Oryctolagus cuniculus: one gene and its partners. The protein of the gene in region 1 interacts with the protein of each later gene in a biochemical or structural test. Links are inferred from orthologs where the notes say so. Each region holds a gene or a part of one and is shown on either strand. Other genes may lie near its edges. The genes, in order: MAPK3, MBP and DUSP1.

Evidence for each region.
Region 2: of the proteins of MAPK3 (region 1) and MBP, one has a biochemical effect on the other in vitro, tested with the Homo sapiens proteins (5 studies listed by BioGRID). The link is inferred for Oryctolagus cuniculus from reciprocal best matches to the Homo sapiens genes MAPK3 and MBP.
Region 3: of the proteins of MAPK3 (region 1) and DUSP1, one has a biochemical effect on the other in vitro, tested with the Homo sapiens proteins (2 studies listed by BioGRID and IntAct). The link is inferred for Oryctolagus cuniculus from reciprocal best matches to the Homo sapiens genes MAPK3 and DUSP1.

The regions. Positions count from the first base shown.
Region 1 is NC_091450.1:7,469,133-7,472,661, reverse strand, and holds the end of MAPK3 (mitogen-activated protein kinase 3), read left to right. Parts: intron 1-126; coding exon 127-316; intron 317-414; coding exon 415-531; intron 532-772; coding exon 773-887; intron 888-1,245; coding exon 1,246-1,377; intron 1,378-1,555; coding exon 1,556-1,665; intron 1,666-1,799; coding exon 1,800-1,922; 3' UTR 1,923-1,952; intron 1,953-2,519; 3' UTR 2,520-3,026; downstream 3,027-3,529. Other genes in the region: lysophospholipase D GDPD3, read left to right, coding at 3,435-3,529.
Region 2 is NC_091441.1:2,201,576-2,205,316, reverse strand, and holds the start of MBP (myelin basic protein), read right to left. Parts: upstream 2,709-3,741; 5' UTR 2,602-2,708; intron 1-2,601. UniProt on the Homo sapiens protein: The classic group of MBP isoforms (isoform 4-isoform 14) are with PLP the most abundant protein components of the myelin membrane in the CNS. They have a role in both its formation and stabilization.
Region 3 is NC_091437.1:59,322,174-59,325,914, forward strand, and holds the start of DUSP1 (dual specificity protein phosphatase 1), read right to left. Parts: upstream 2,577-3,741; 5' UTR 2,301-2,576; coding exon 1,934-2,300; intron 1,657-1,933; coding exon 1,511-1,656; intron 1,170-1,510; coding exon 950-1,169; intron 535-949; coding exon 164-534; 3' UTR 1-163. UniProt on the Homo sapiens protein: Dual specificity phosphatase that dephosphorylates MAP kinase MAPK1/ERK2 on both 'Thr-183' and 'Tyr-185', regulating its activity during the meiotic cell cycle.

The DNA of each region.
Region 1 (3,529 bases):
CCCCAGGTGAGGGGACGTGCGGGGACGTGCAGCCGCATCACCAGAACCTGATTTCCTTAACTGCGTGCCTCCCCCTGCCCCCTGCCCCCTGCCTGGGGGAGGGGCGGGGTCTCGGGCCGTTCCCAGCTACATCGTGCAGGACCTCATGGAGACAGACCTGTACAAGTTGCTCAAAAGCCAGCAACTAAGCAACGACCACATCTGCTACTTCCTCTACCAGATCCTGCGGGGTCTCAAGTACATCCACTCGGCCAACGTGCTCCACCGGGACCTGAAGCCCTCCAACCTGCTCATCAACACCACCTGCGACCTTAAGGTCCGCGGCTGGCCGCGGCGAAGCTGTGGGAGGAGTGGGAGTGCTCGGGCCTGCAGGGGCCCCGAGCCCTGCGTTCAGCAGCCTGGGTTTCATTGCAGATCTGTGATTTCGGCCTGGCCCGCATTGCAGACCCTGAACATGACCACACCGGCTTCCTGACGGAGTACGTGGCCACGCGCTGGTACCGGGCCCCAGAGATCATGCTCAACTCCAAGGTAGGCAAGCCTGGCAGCCCGGAAGGGAAAGCCTCAGGCCCCCAGGGCGGCCCTGGAGCCACCCTCCCTGAGCGAGGCTCTGGAAGTCCACCCTCTGCAACGTGGCCTCTGGAAGGAAGCTGAGCACCGGCTCTCCAGGCCTCTGCCCCGGATCTCGGTTGGAAGCGGTGGCTTGGCCCAGGCCGCAGGGCCCTGCCGAGGCTGGCTCGGGAGTGCAGCACTGTTTTCCTGTCATCCCCAGGGCTATACTAAGTCCATCGACATCTGGTCTGTGGGCTGCATCCTGGCCGAGATGCTCTCCAACCGGCCCATCTTCCCTGGCAAGCACTACCTGGACCAGCTCAACCACATTCTAGGTGAGGGGGCCTGACCCACCCGGGGGAGGCTCAGGCTCAGGCTCAGGGTCAGGGTCAGAGTCAGAGTCAGGGGTACCACCACTTGTGGAACTTCTCCAGCATCTCCCAGCATCTCCGTGAGCAGAGACAACTATCCCCATTTGGTGGATGGGAAAAGCAAGGCCGAGAGCCGTCACACCTAAAGAAGTGCTAGGGCCAGGATTTGAACCCAGGCTGCCTGGGTCCAGACCCCTTGTCCTTCTCACTGTGAGGCAGGTGGCTGGGCTGGGGGTGCTTGTCTGGGCTTCTTTGCCTCTGTATCCCAGGACGGAGGAGGAAGGCGAGGTCTCACCAAGTCGCCTGCCTTCCTTCTGCCCAGGCATCCTGGGCTCGCCGTCCCAGGAGGACCTGAACTGCATCATCAACATGAAGGCCCGGAACTACCTGCAGTCCCTGCCTGCCAAGACCAAGGTGGCCTGGGCCAAGCTGTTTCCCAAGTCAGACTCCAAAGGTGAGTGAGACGCCACGCCCAGGGAGGATAAACCTTGAGTGGGGACGGGGGCTCACGATCCGGGCACCTGCCTGTGTGGACGGGGCCCTGGGTGCCGAAAAGCAAAGGGAGCCTCCCCTTCCGGGAGCCCCTCCCCCCTCCGCCTTCTCCGTGAGCCCTGACTCCCGCCCTCTGCCAGCCCTGGACCTGCTGGATCGGATGTTGACCTTCAACCCCAACAAGCGCATCACTGTGGAGGAGGCCCTGGCTCACCCCTACCTGGAACAGTACTATGACCCGACGGACGAGGTGCCGTGGCGGCGGCGGCAGCGGTGGTGGGGTGGTGGTGGGGGGCCGTCTGGGGGTGTGGGCGTCTCCGGGGCCTGGGGGCGTGGGCGTTTCCGGGGCCTGGCCCGAGAGCCCTCCTGTCTCTGCCTGTGTAGCCGGTGGCCGAGGAGCCCTTCACCTTCGACATGGAGTTGGATGATCTACCCAAGGAGCGGCTGAAGGAGCTCATCTTCCAGGAGACGGCCCGCTTCCAGCCGGGGGCTCCGGAGGGGCCCTAGCCTGCGCGGCAGCCCTGTCCCCGGGGCCTGGTGAGTGGCCCTCTCACCCCACACCGACTGCGAGCCAGCCCTGGCGTCCCTGATCCACCTGTACGGTGGTGACAAAAGGTGCCCAGACTCATGACCCACCCAGGCCCTTAAGTCCCCACCTGTCTACACTGCACCCACAGCGGCCCCTGGGGCCCCGTCCCCGCTGTGGGCAGCTGACCCACACTTCTGCTCGCCCACATGGACAGGTGGGGCCCCGCAGCAGGTGGCCCAAGCCAGGTGCCTCCTCACCACTCAGGGCAGCCGTTCCCACACCCGGGGGCCTCGGCGGGCCCACCCAGACCCACGCCGACCCACGCCGCAGAGCTGCCATTGTGCAAGCCGCCTCGCCCATGCACTTCCACTTCCTGGAGGCTGCTGTGCTCTCCAAGCCAGGGCCGATCCAGCCCTCCACGCCCTCCGCGGGTTCATTCACCTGTAGCTTCACCCTGGGAGAGGACCCTGTCCTCACTCCGCTGGTGGAGGGGCCAGGGAGACCCGACGTGGGCTGGGGGGCCGTGAGGCCCCGTGGGGTCTCACAGCTCCTCCCCCGTCTGCCTTTTCCCTTAGGGCCTGCCTGCTGCCTGCCCCTCTACGCTCGGACTGTTAGAAAACGGACACTGTGCCCGGCTGGGGCGGAGTGTGGGCCTGGCCCCATCTCGCTCCTGCTTCAGACAGGCCAAGAGCCCCCTCCCCCCTGCTCCTGCCAGGGCCTGAGGGCCTCGGGCGACCCCACAGTAGATCTCCCCCCAGCTCTGCCTCCATCTACCCTGGCTATCCCAGGCTGGTCCTTCTGGACCTCCGGAGGGGCGGGGCGGGGCGGGGACACTGAGCAGGGACTCAGGGCAAACCCTGCCCCCTCCCCCTTACCCCCCCCATCTCCCTGGGGGAACATTCCTGAGTCTCAAGGGCTAGTATCCCTGAGGAGAGGGCCCCCCACCCCGGCCTCAGCCCCTCCCCCCAAAGCTGCCACATTAACGTCCTCGCTGCTTCTGTGTGTGGGTGAGCGGGAGTGGGGGCGCCCCCGCCCGCCCCCGTGCCTGTATCTAATATATAAATATAGAGATGTGTATATGATGACCGTGACCGTGTTTCTGTTCGCCCCTGCCTTGGCCCAGCCAGGGCTGCTTGGGACCGACCCCCCTCCAGCCCAGCAGACTCCTGGCCCAGCCCTGGTGACCTTTGGCCCCAGGCTGGCCAGGGTTGAAAACTGGGGGGGGGGGGGGCAGTGTTCCAGACTGCTGGAAAGGGGAGAGTGTCAGTTTTCCCTTTAGTCACCAACCTCTTCCCTGTAATGACTTCCTGTGGAACTGGCTGGGGGTGACTCAGGGGTACGCTATACACCCCCAGCTTCTCTGGAAATGGCCAGGGAGCGAGCGTGTTATACACCTTGGCCACAAGCACCCATGGAGCCTGCGGGGAGGGGGCGTTACTCCTCCCAGGCAGCCCAGGACAGAGGGGTGTCGGGGTCCAGGGAGCGTCTGGATGTGTTCAGAGTCAGGGCTGCTGCCTGGCTGCCTCCTGTCTGTCCCCCAGCCCCAGCTGAGCCCTGCAGCCTGGCCCAGGGCCAGCAGCAGGCT
Region 2 (3,741 bases), on another chromosome or scaffold:
ACAGAAGAGGAGGAAGAGACGGTGGTTTCCAGAGTTCAGGGCGGGGCAGTGCAGGGCGCTGACTCCATCAAGGGACCCAGCAGGCGTCCTGGGAGGAAGCCGCCCTGCAGACTGGCTGTCACACGGCTCGCCGTGGGTGACAGTGACACAGCAAGGAGGACACTCACACACACACTGCTGACATCTGCACGAGGAGAAGGGCCTGCATCAACGCTGGCCTCCTGCCTGCCAGCCGGAACCGAGTTTTCCAAGATGGTGGCACTCGGGGAACTAGTGGAGTGGCACGTGGCATCTCCGGGGTTCGTTACACGTGCCTGTGCATCTACAATGATCACAAACTGGCGAGCACGCGTCCTGCTCTGGCCCTGCCCGAGGCTCCCGCGAGGACGGACGTGCCTGGAGCGAACCCCGTGGGTCCCAGGGGGCCGCTGTGTCCGGCTGGGTGGACGGCCCCTGCCGTGGGGATTCCTATGGACACACTGAGAGTCACCCCGCTTCCTCGCTGCTTAGCCGAGTCAGGATTTAAAACTGGCGCAGGAGGAGAGCGTGGACGTGTTCTAACTGCCGCTCCGGTTTTCCGCCCCTGGTTATCAGCGCTGAGGTCCTCCGTGGGTCTCGTCCGTCCACCTGGCCTTCACCGTCCACGCAGTGCAGCTTGTGCAGGCCCAGATTTCACTCCACAGCAGTGTGCTTACGGTCACCGACGGTTACAGCACTTCGTGTCTTCCAGATGCGAACATCACACAGCTCTGCTTATTCTCAGTTTGCAGTCTCCTGCTTATCATAATAGCGTCTCACAGCCCCTCACCGAGTCCAGGATAAATTAACACTCAGAACTACGGTTATGTATTTGAGGGGCAGAGACCACACACACACACACACACACACACACGCAGCGGCTGGGCAGACACAGGGAGAGAGCGCCTATGCACTGGCTCACTCCTCAAATGCCCACAACAGACAGGGGCCCAGGCTGCAGGGCCAGGAATGCAATCTGGGTTTCAACCCGTAACTGGCAGGGCCCCGATCACCCGGCCATGATGGCTGCCTCCCGGGGTGTACACCAGCACACACCTGGAGTCAGGGCCGGGCCAGGAAAGAACCGACCGTGGGACTCGGGCACCTTCACCACTGGGTACACGCCTGCTCCCACAGCCACATTTTAATGACCACGCAGTCCCAGTGGTTCCAAACACACACGCAGTTACGCGGGTTGCCATTTGCGGGAGACCCTGCCTGCGCTGTCCTGCCCTGAGGCCTGCAGTGCGCAAGCTCATTCCTCGCAGCCGGTCAGGAACGCGCCTGTCCCTCTGGTCAGCTCGTCTGGGTGAGGCCTGCCTGCGGCAGGAGCGTGCCCCACCGCTCAGAGGCCAACAAGCAGCGAGCTCTCTGCCGGGGCTTCCTTTAGGGGGGCTGAACGGAACACCCCGAGTGTCCAATCGCACACAGACGATTCACTTAACACCACGCGGGAGCCATCCAAATACTCTGTTCTCTCTCTAGACAACCCAGGAGGCCAAGGAGAGGATGGCCCACGCAGACAGCGGGCAGTCACAGCAAGGAAGCCCAACTCAGAGGGGAGCAGGAACCTCGTGAGAGGCCTGGTTTCCGGTCTTCAGCGCTCCCTGACACCTGCACCGTGTCACTGACCACAGGGGGAACACCCAGGCAAAGCCAGCAGGCGGCCTGAGGCAGACAGGGACTTTAAAAACACCCTGCACCCAGGGCTGCCCGGCCAGCGGATAACAAGTGGTCCAAACCGAGCAGGGAAGTCCTGGGGGTCAGTGTCCCCCCTGCCCCTGTGGCCTAGGCCCCGCCTGGGAGGGCAGAGATGCCAGCTCAGCTGCCTCCCGACCTGGGGACCCTCCCTGGGCCGGGGGCACCCAGGCTCCAAGAAACGCAGGTGGCAAAAGGCGAGCCTTCGACTCTAATGAGCTCTGTTCCCCAGGCACCCGGAGCACCTGCGCTCCCGGCACCGCCAGGCCCAGCGCGGGCGGCCCCACCGGCGGCACAACCAGGGCCCCAAAGACGCCGCCTCCCGCCAGCGCCTTACCAGGGGCCCCAGCGTAGCTCCCGGCTCCCCCAACCCCCAGCTTCCCCAACAGGGCGCCGAAGCGGGTCCACCCGGGGCCCCCAAAGCCGAGGCGCGAGGGGGCGGCCGGGGCAGGCAGGTGGGCCGCGTGAAGGCGTAAGCCGGACCGGCCTCCCGGCGCCGCCCTCGGGGCTCAGAGGGAAACTGCACCTGCCCTGGGGGAGGGGCGCGAGGAAGGCCCGCGAGCCAGCCTGGACCCCCGGACCCCCGGCCACCAGCCCGCCGCCGCGCTCACCTCGCACCCCGGGCCTCCTCCCCACCTCCACCCGCACCCGGTTCTGCCACGCCGGGGCCACCAGGCCGGCCGAGGTCCACGCTTGGAAACCCGTCGGGTGGCAGCGCTCGCCGCCGTAGACGGGCGTCTACACCCGCACGCAGTGGCCACGGGGCTGGGGACCCGAAGTCGGGTCCCACAGGCCGCCCGGCCATGCCACCTGCTCGGCCCCCTGCGCGCTCCCGGGCCGGCGGGGGGCCCGTTCCGGGGTCGCGCTCCCGCGAGGGTCACCCACCTGCCGTGCGCTCGCGCTCCGGGGCCGAGGGCCGCCCTGGGGCCCCAGGCCGTTCTCCCCGCTCGACTCCGGCGGCTGCGGGCGCGGGCGGCGCGGGGTCCCGGGGCCGAGGACGCGGGCGGCCGGGCCGCAGGCTCGTGCTCGCTGGCGGCGGCGGCTCCGAGGCGCGGGCGCGCACCCCGCGTCCCCGCCCCGCCCGCGCGCCCCGCGGGCTTCCTGCGCGCCAGGTAAACAGCGGCTGCCGCGCCGCCGGGCCCGCCCCGCGCGCCCGGAACTCGCCGCGCTCGCCCGCGGGGCCCGAGCCCGACCCGCGCGGCGCGCGCCCCGCCTGCCCCAGGCGCGGGGCAGGACTCGGCGGGCTGGTGCGGGCTCCCGCACGGGAAGCGCAGGTGCGGGCCGGGGCCACGGCACCCAGCGCGCGCTCCCCCTCGTGACCCGCAGGCGGCCGCCCCGTGGACGTTGCTCACCGGGACACCCGGGCGCGGTGCGGCCCCGCGGGGTTTCCCCGGGTCCCGAGCTCGCTCCCAGGGGACAGGAACCAGGCCGAGCGTCCTTGCTGGACTGAATGCGCGGGCAGTGGCATCCGCCCCCACGAGGAGGAGGCGGGGACCCGCGCAGTGCTACGTGGACCGCGCCCGGGGTCCCCTCTGGTTCCTGGGCCAGCAGCCAGCGCTGGGACAGGGGACTCCCAGCCCACCGCTCTGAGGCGGGTCCTAGACGGTGGCCCAGCGCCAATGTCCGAAGAGTAGCCTTCCCATGACAACTCCAAGACCACCCCTCACTTCCCCCCAGGGTGAGACCCCTCTCCCCAGTGTGAGACCCCTCCCACCTCACACAAGGTGAAGCCCCTCCCACACCACAGTGTGAGACCCCTCACTCCAGTGTGAGACCCTGCCCACCTCACAGTGAGACCCCTCCCACCCCACAGGGTGAGACCCCTCCCACCTCACAGGGCGAGACCCCTCCCACCTCACAGGGCGAGACCCCTCCCACCCCACAGGGTGAGACCCCTCCCACCCCACAGTGTGAGACCCCTCCCACCTCACAGTGTGAGACCCCTCCCACCCCACAGTGTGAGCCCCCTCCCACCTCACAGGGCGAGACCCCTCCCACCCCACAATCTGGGACCCCTCCCACCCC
Region 3 (3,741 bases), on another chromosome or scaffold:
CAGAGGAGCCCAGTGGAAGCCAGGTGACGTTACATAAATAAGGCCCGGTGTGCGCTCGTGAGCCCCCTCCCGGGAGTCATTGCCTTTCTCCACCAAGGAGGAAGCCTGGAGTCCCGGGCGCGCGTGGAGGTGGAGGTGGCGCTCCTAGCCCCGCCCCGGCCTCTCAGCAGCTGGGGGAGGTGGTGATGGGGCTCTGAAGGTAGCTCAGGGCACTGTTCGTGGGGTGTACGGGAATGGAGACGGGGAAGTTGAAGACAGTGGTGGTGGCGGTGCCGCGGTCCAGCACAGCCATGGCGGGGCTGCTGGCCTCCGCCGAGCAGTGCGGGGCCAGCACCTGCGATTCAAACTGCAGCAGCTGGCCCATGAAGCTGAAGTTGGGGGAGATGATGCTCCGTCTCTGCTTCACGAACTCAAAGGCCTCGTCCAGCTTCACGCGGTTAGTCCTCATGAGGTAAGCGAGGCAGATGGTGGCGGACCGGGAGATGCCCGCCTGGCAGTGGACGAACACCCTTCCTCCGGCATTTCTGATGGAGTCTGGAAAACAAGAAGTGCGGCTGCTTACTAGAGAGCTCGGGAGAGGGACCCCAAGTCCAGGCAAAAAGCGTCAAAGAACAATGTCACACGTGTCCTACCCAGGCGGCCAACATCACCTTACGCTAGCCCATGGACTTATGCTATCATGGAGGGCACCGTGCAAAGGGGCAGCAAGGGACTAAACCCAGATGGGGTGTCTCCACTTAGCAGGTTGATTCTGGGCAAGTCCACTTGCCAAGCCTCGGTTTGCTCATGCGCAGGGTGGGACATCAAGTCCTCATTCTGCAAGGATGATGTCCACCCGAGATGGACAGTTCATGTCTGGTGGATGGCTCACAAGAGCAGCACCCAAGTCCTCTGCCAGACAGGTTGAAACGGGGAGGCATCAGCAGTGCCGGGCGTCCGTCCCACTCACCTATGAAGTCGATGGCCTCGCTGAACCAGGAGCTGATGTCTGCCTTGTGGTTGTCCTCCACAGGGATGCTCTTGTACTGATAGTGACCCTCAAAGTGGTTGGGACAGTTGGCTGAGACGTTGATCAAGGCCGTGATGCCCAGGGCATCCAGCATGTCCTTGCGGGAAGCGTGATAGGCACTGCCCAGGTATAGGAAGGGCAAGATCTCCACCGGGCCACCCTGTGAGGCAGAAAGACCCAAACACTGCTCAGGCCGGCTCCAGGGCACCACCAGCACCCACACCCACAAAAACTCCCCAGTGGAAAAGTCAGTGGTGAACTTCTCAGTACCCCTGCTGCTGCTGCTGGAGTATAAACAAACAGGGGTCTAAGCCCATGTGCCCCTGGCAGCACCAGCCAGTTCATTTCTGTAGTGCCATGCATCAGACACGCAGAGCCATTGAGTGTCCCCAAGTCCCCTTTATAAATAAAGCTGCAGGTCACTTTCCACGTTCTCACGGGCACCCTCTTCCAAGCCTTGCTGGCCCCGACTCCTCCCCTCTGGCACGGGGCCCCACTGACCTGATCGTAGAGCGGGGTGCTGCAGGAGCTGCATCCGGATTCCGCGCTGTCCGGGATACTGGTGGTCAGGGGAAGGCTGAGCCCCATGGGGGTCGACTGTTTGCTGCACAGTTCTGGGCAGGACGCCGAAAACGCCTCATAACCTCCTGGCAACAGAGAGAGGAAGGTTTGCTTCCATCAGCATCGTTGAGCCAAGGTCCCTTCCCACAAAGCCCCCACCCCACCAGGCGCTCCAAGTTCATATCGCTAAGGCCCAAGCAAGTCTTTGTTCCCAGGACCAGACAAAGCCGGTGTGACAAGTCCCCAGAGCCACAACGCCGCGCCCATGCGCTCCAGGTAGGACTCGGGCGCCGGTCCCCGCCCCCACTAGAGAGCCAAGGGCCAAGGGGCCCCCGGCAAGGCAGCGCTGCCCCGAGGTCGTACCTTTGAGGAAGAAGACGTGCGCGGCGCGCGCCTCCCGGCACAGCGCGCCCGCCGCCAGGGCCAGGGTGCCGTCGCGCTTGGCGCCGTCCAGGGCGACACTGCGCTCGTCCAGCAGCACCACGGCGTGGTAGGCGCCGGCCAGCAGGCGGCCGCGCAGCTCGGCGTTGGGCACGATGTGCTCCAGCCCCATGGCGCCCTTGGCCCGGCGCCGCACGATGGTGCTGAAGCGCACGTTGACCGAGCCGGCGATGTGGCCAGCGTTGAAAGCGAAGAAGGAGCGGCAATCCAGCACCAGGCACTGCGCCGCGCGCTCCCGCAGCAGCGTCCGCAGGCCTCCGGCGTCCAGGATGCCCACCTCCATGACCATGGCCGGCCTCAGAGCCCCCAGCGTGCACGTCGCTCCGGAGTCCTTTGTCTGTCCCCGGACGCCAAGAGCAGAGCGGCGACGGCTTTCGAGGAAAAGTCCGACCCCGACTCTCTGGGCGCGGAACAAGACACTGCCTTTGGGCCGAGCGAAGGGCGTCACACGGGACTGCAGCCACCCGGGCTTTCTCCAGCCGCTCCCGGGACCGTCCCTGCTCCGGCGACCGCAGCGCCTCTCCTACAATCCAGTCGTCCTTCTCGACGAGCTCGGCCCCGGGGAGTGCAGTTATATGGGCCTCTCCGGGGGCGGGGCGGGGCGGGGCTGGCGCGCGCTGGGAGGGGGAAGGGGGGTTTGTTTGTTTGAATGGCGGCCACGTGACCGGGTGGTGACGTCACCCACCCGGCCCGGCCCGGCGCCACCAGAGCCAGAGGCAAAGACGTCATCGGCCTCGGAGCGGGGTGCGCTCCCCGCGAGCTGGCTCGCGCCCCAGCCCCGGCCTGCTCCTGGCTCGTCCCCAGAGACCCAGCCGGCTCGGCTCGGCTCGGCTGTACGCGCCCCGCGGGAGGACAGGGGCGCGCTGCCAGCCGAAGGCTGACCTCCGCCACCTGCCTCGGCCTCTCGGCGCTCGGCGCCGCCGCTGGGTCCTCTCGGCCGCTCGCCTCGTGTCCTCGCTAACGGGCCGGGCTGCCGGGGTCCCGACGGCCAGCGTGGAGGGTGGGGGGCGGCGGAGAGGAGCTCACGATGTGGACCGGGGAGGGCGGGCGGAGAATGAACAACTCTGTCCCTGGAAATGGCGTCCCCACCAGGAGAGAGGCCGGAGTGAGAAAGAAAGAAAAACTTTGTATACGTTGAGCAAGAACAATGGCGTCCAGTGAGCCACCCCACCCCCCATCTCCGCCGCGGGACAAATAGCTCCTCTAGTCATGTAGTCCCTACGAGGTTGGAGCAGAGGAAGGCAGAGCGCGGGGCGGCAAGCCCGGGGCGGGGGGCGCGCGGGTCGGCGCCTGGGGACGGGCCGGGCGGCTCCACTGGGGTCGCTGGTGCGCGCGCGCGCGTGTTACCTTGGCTCGAGGCCGAGGCCCCTGGGCCCCGGCTTTGCGCACCCCAGCCCCATTGCGCGCCCTCGTAGCGTCTGCCCAGCGCTCCCCAGCTCACAACCCAGCCACGCGCGGGGAGAGCGGCTGCAAGACGCGCGCCCCGAGCCCTGCTGACCACCCCCTGGGCAGGAGAGCCGCCTTCGCGGCGACAGCGGCATGTCGGGTCCACAAACAAACCTTGCGCCACCGGCCGAGTGCAGAATCGGGAACATTCTGCGGTTTCCCCTCTGCTCTCCTGGGGGGAGGGGTGTTCGCTGCCAGCCTGCGTCGTCCCTCTGTGGGTTCTAACACCAGAGACAGCTTCTCCCTTTGCCTAGCGTAGCTTGTGCCAAGTGCCATGCAGAGAC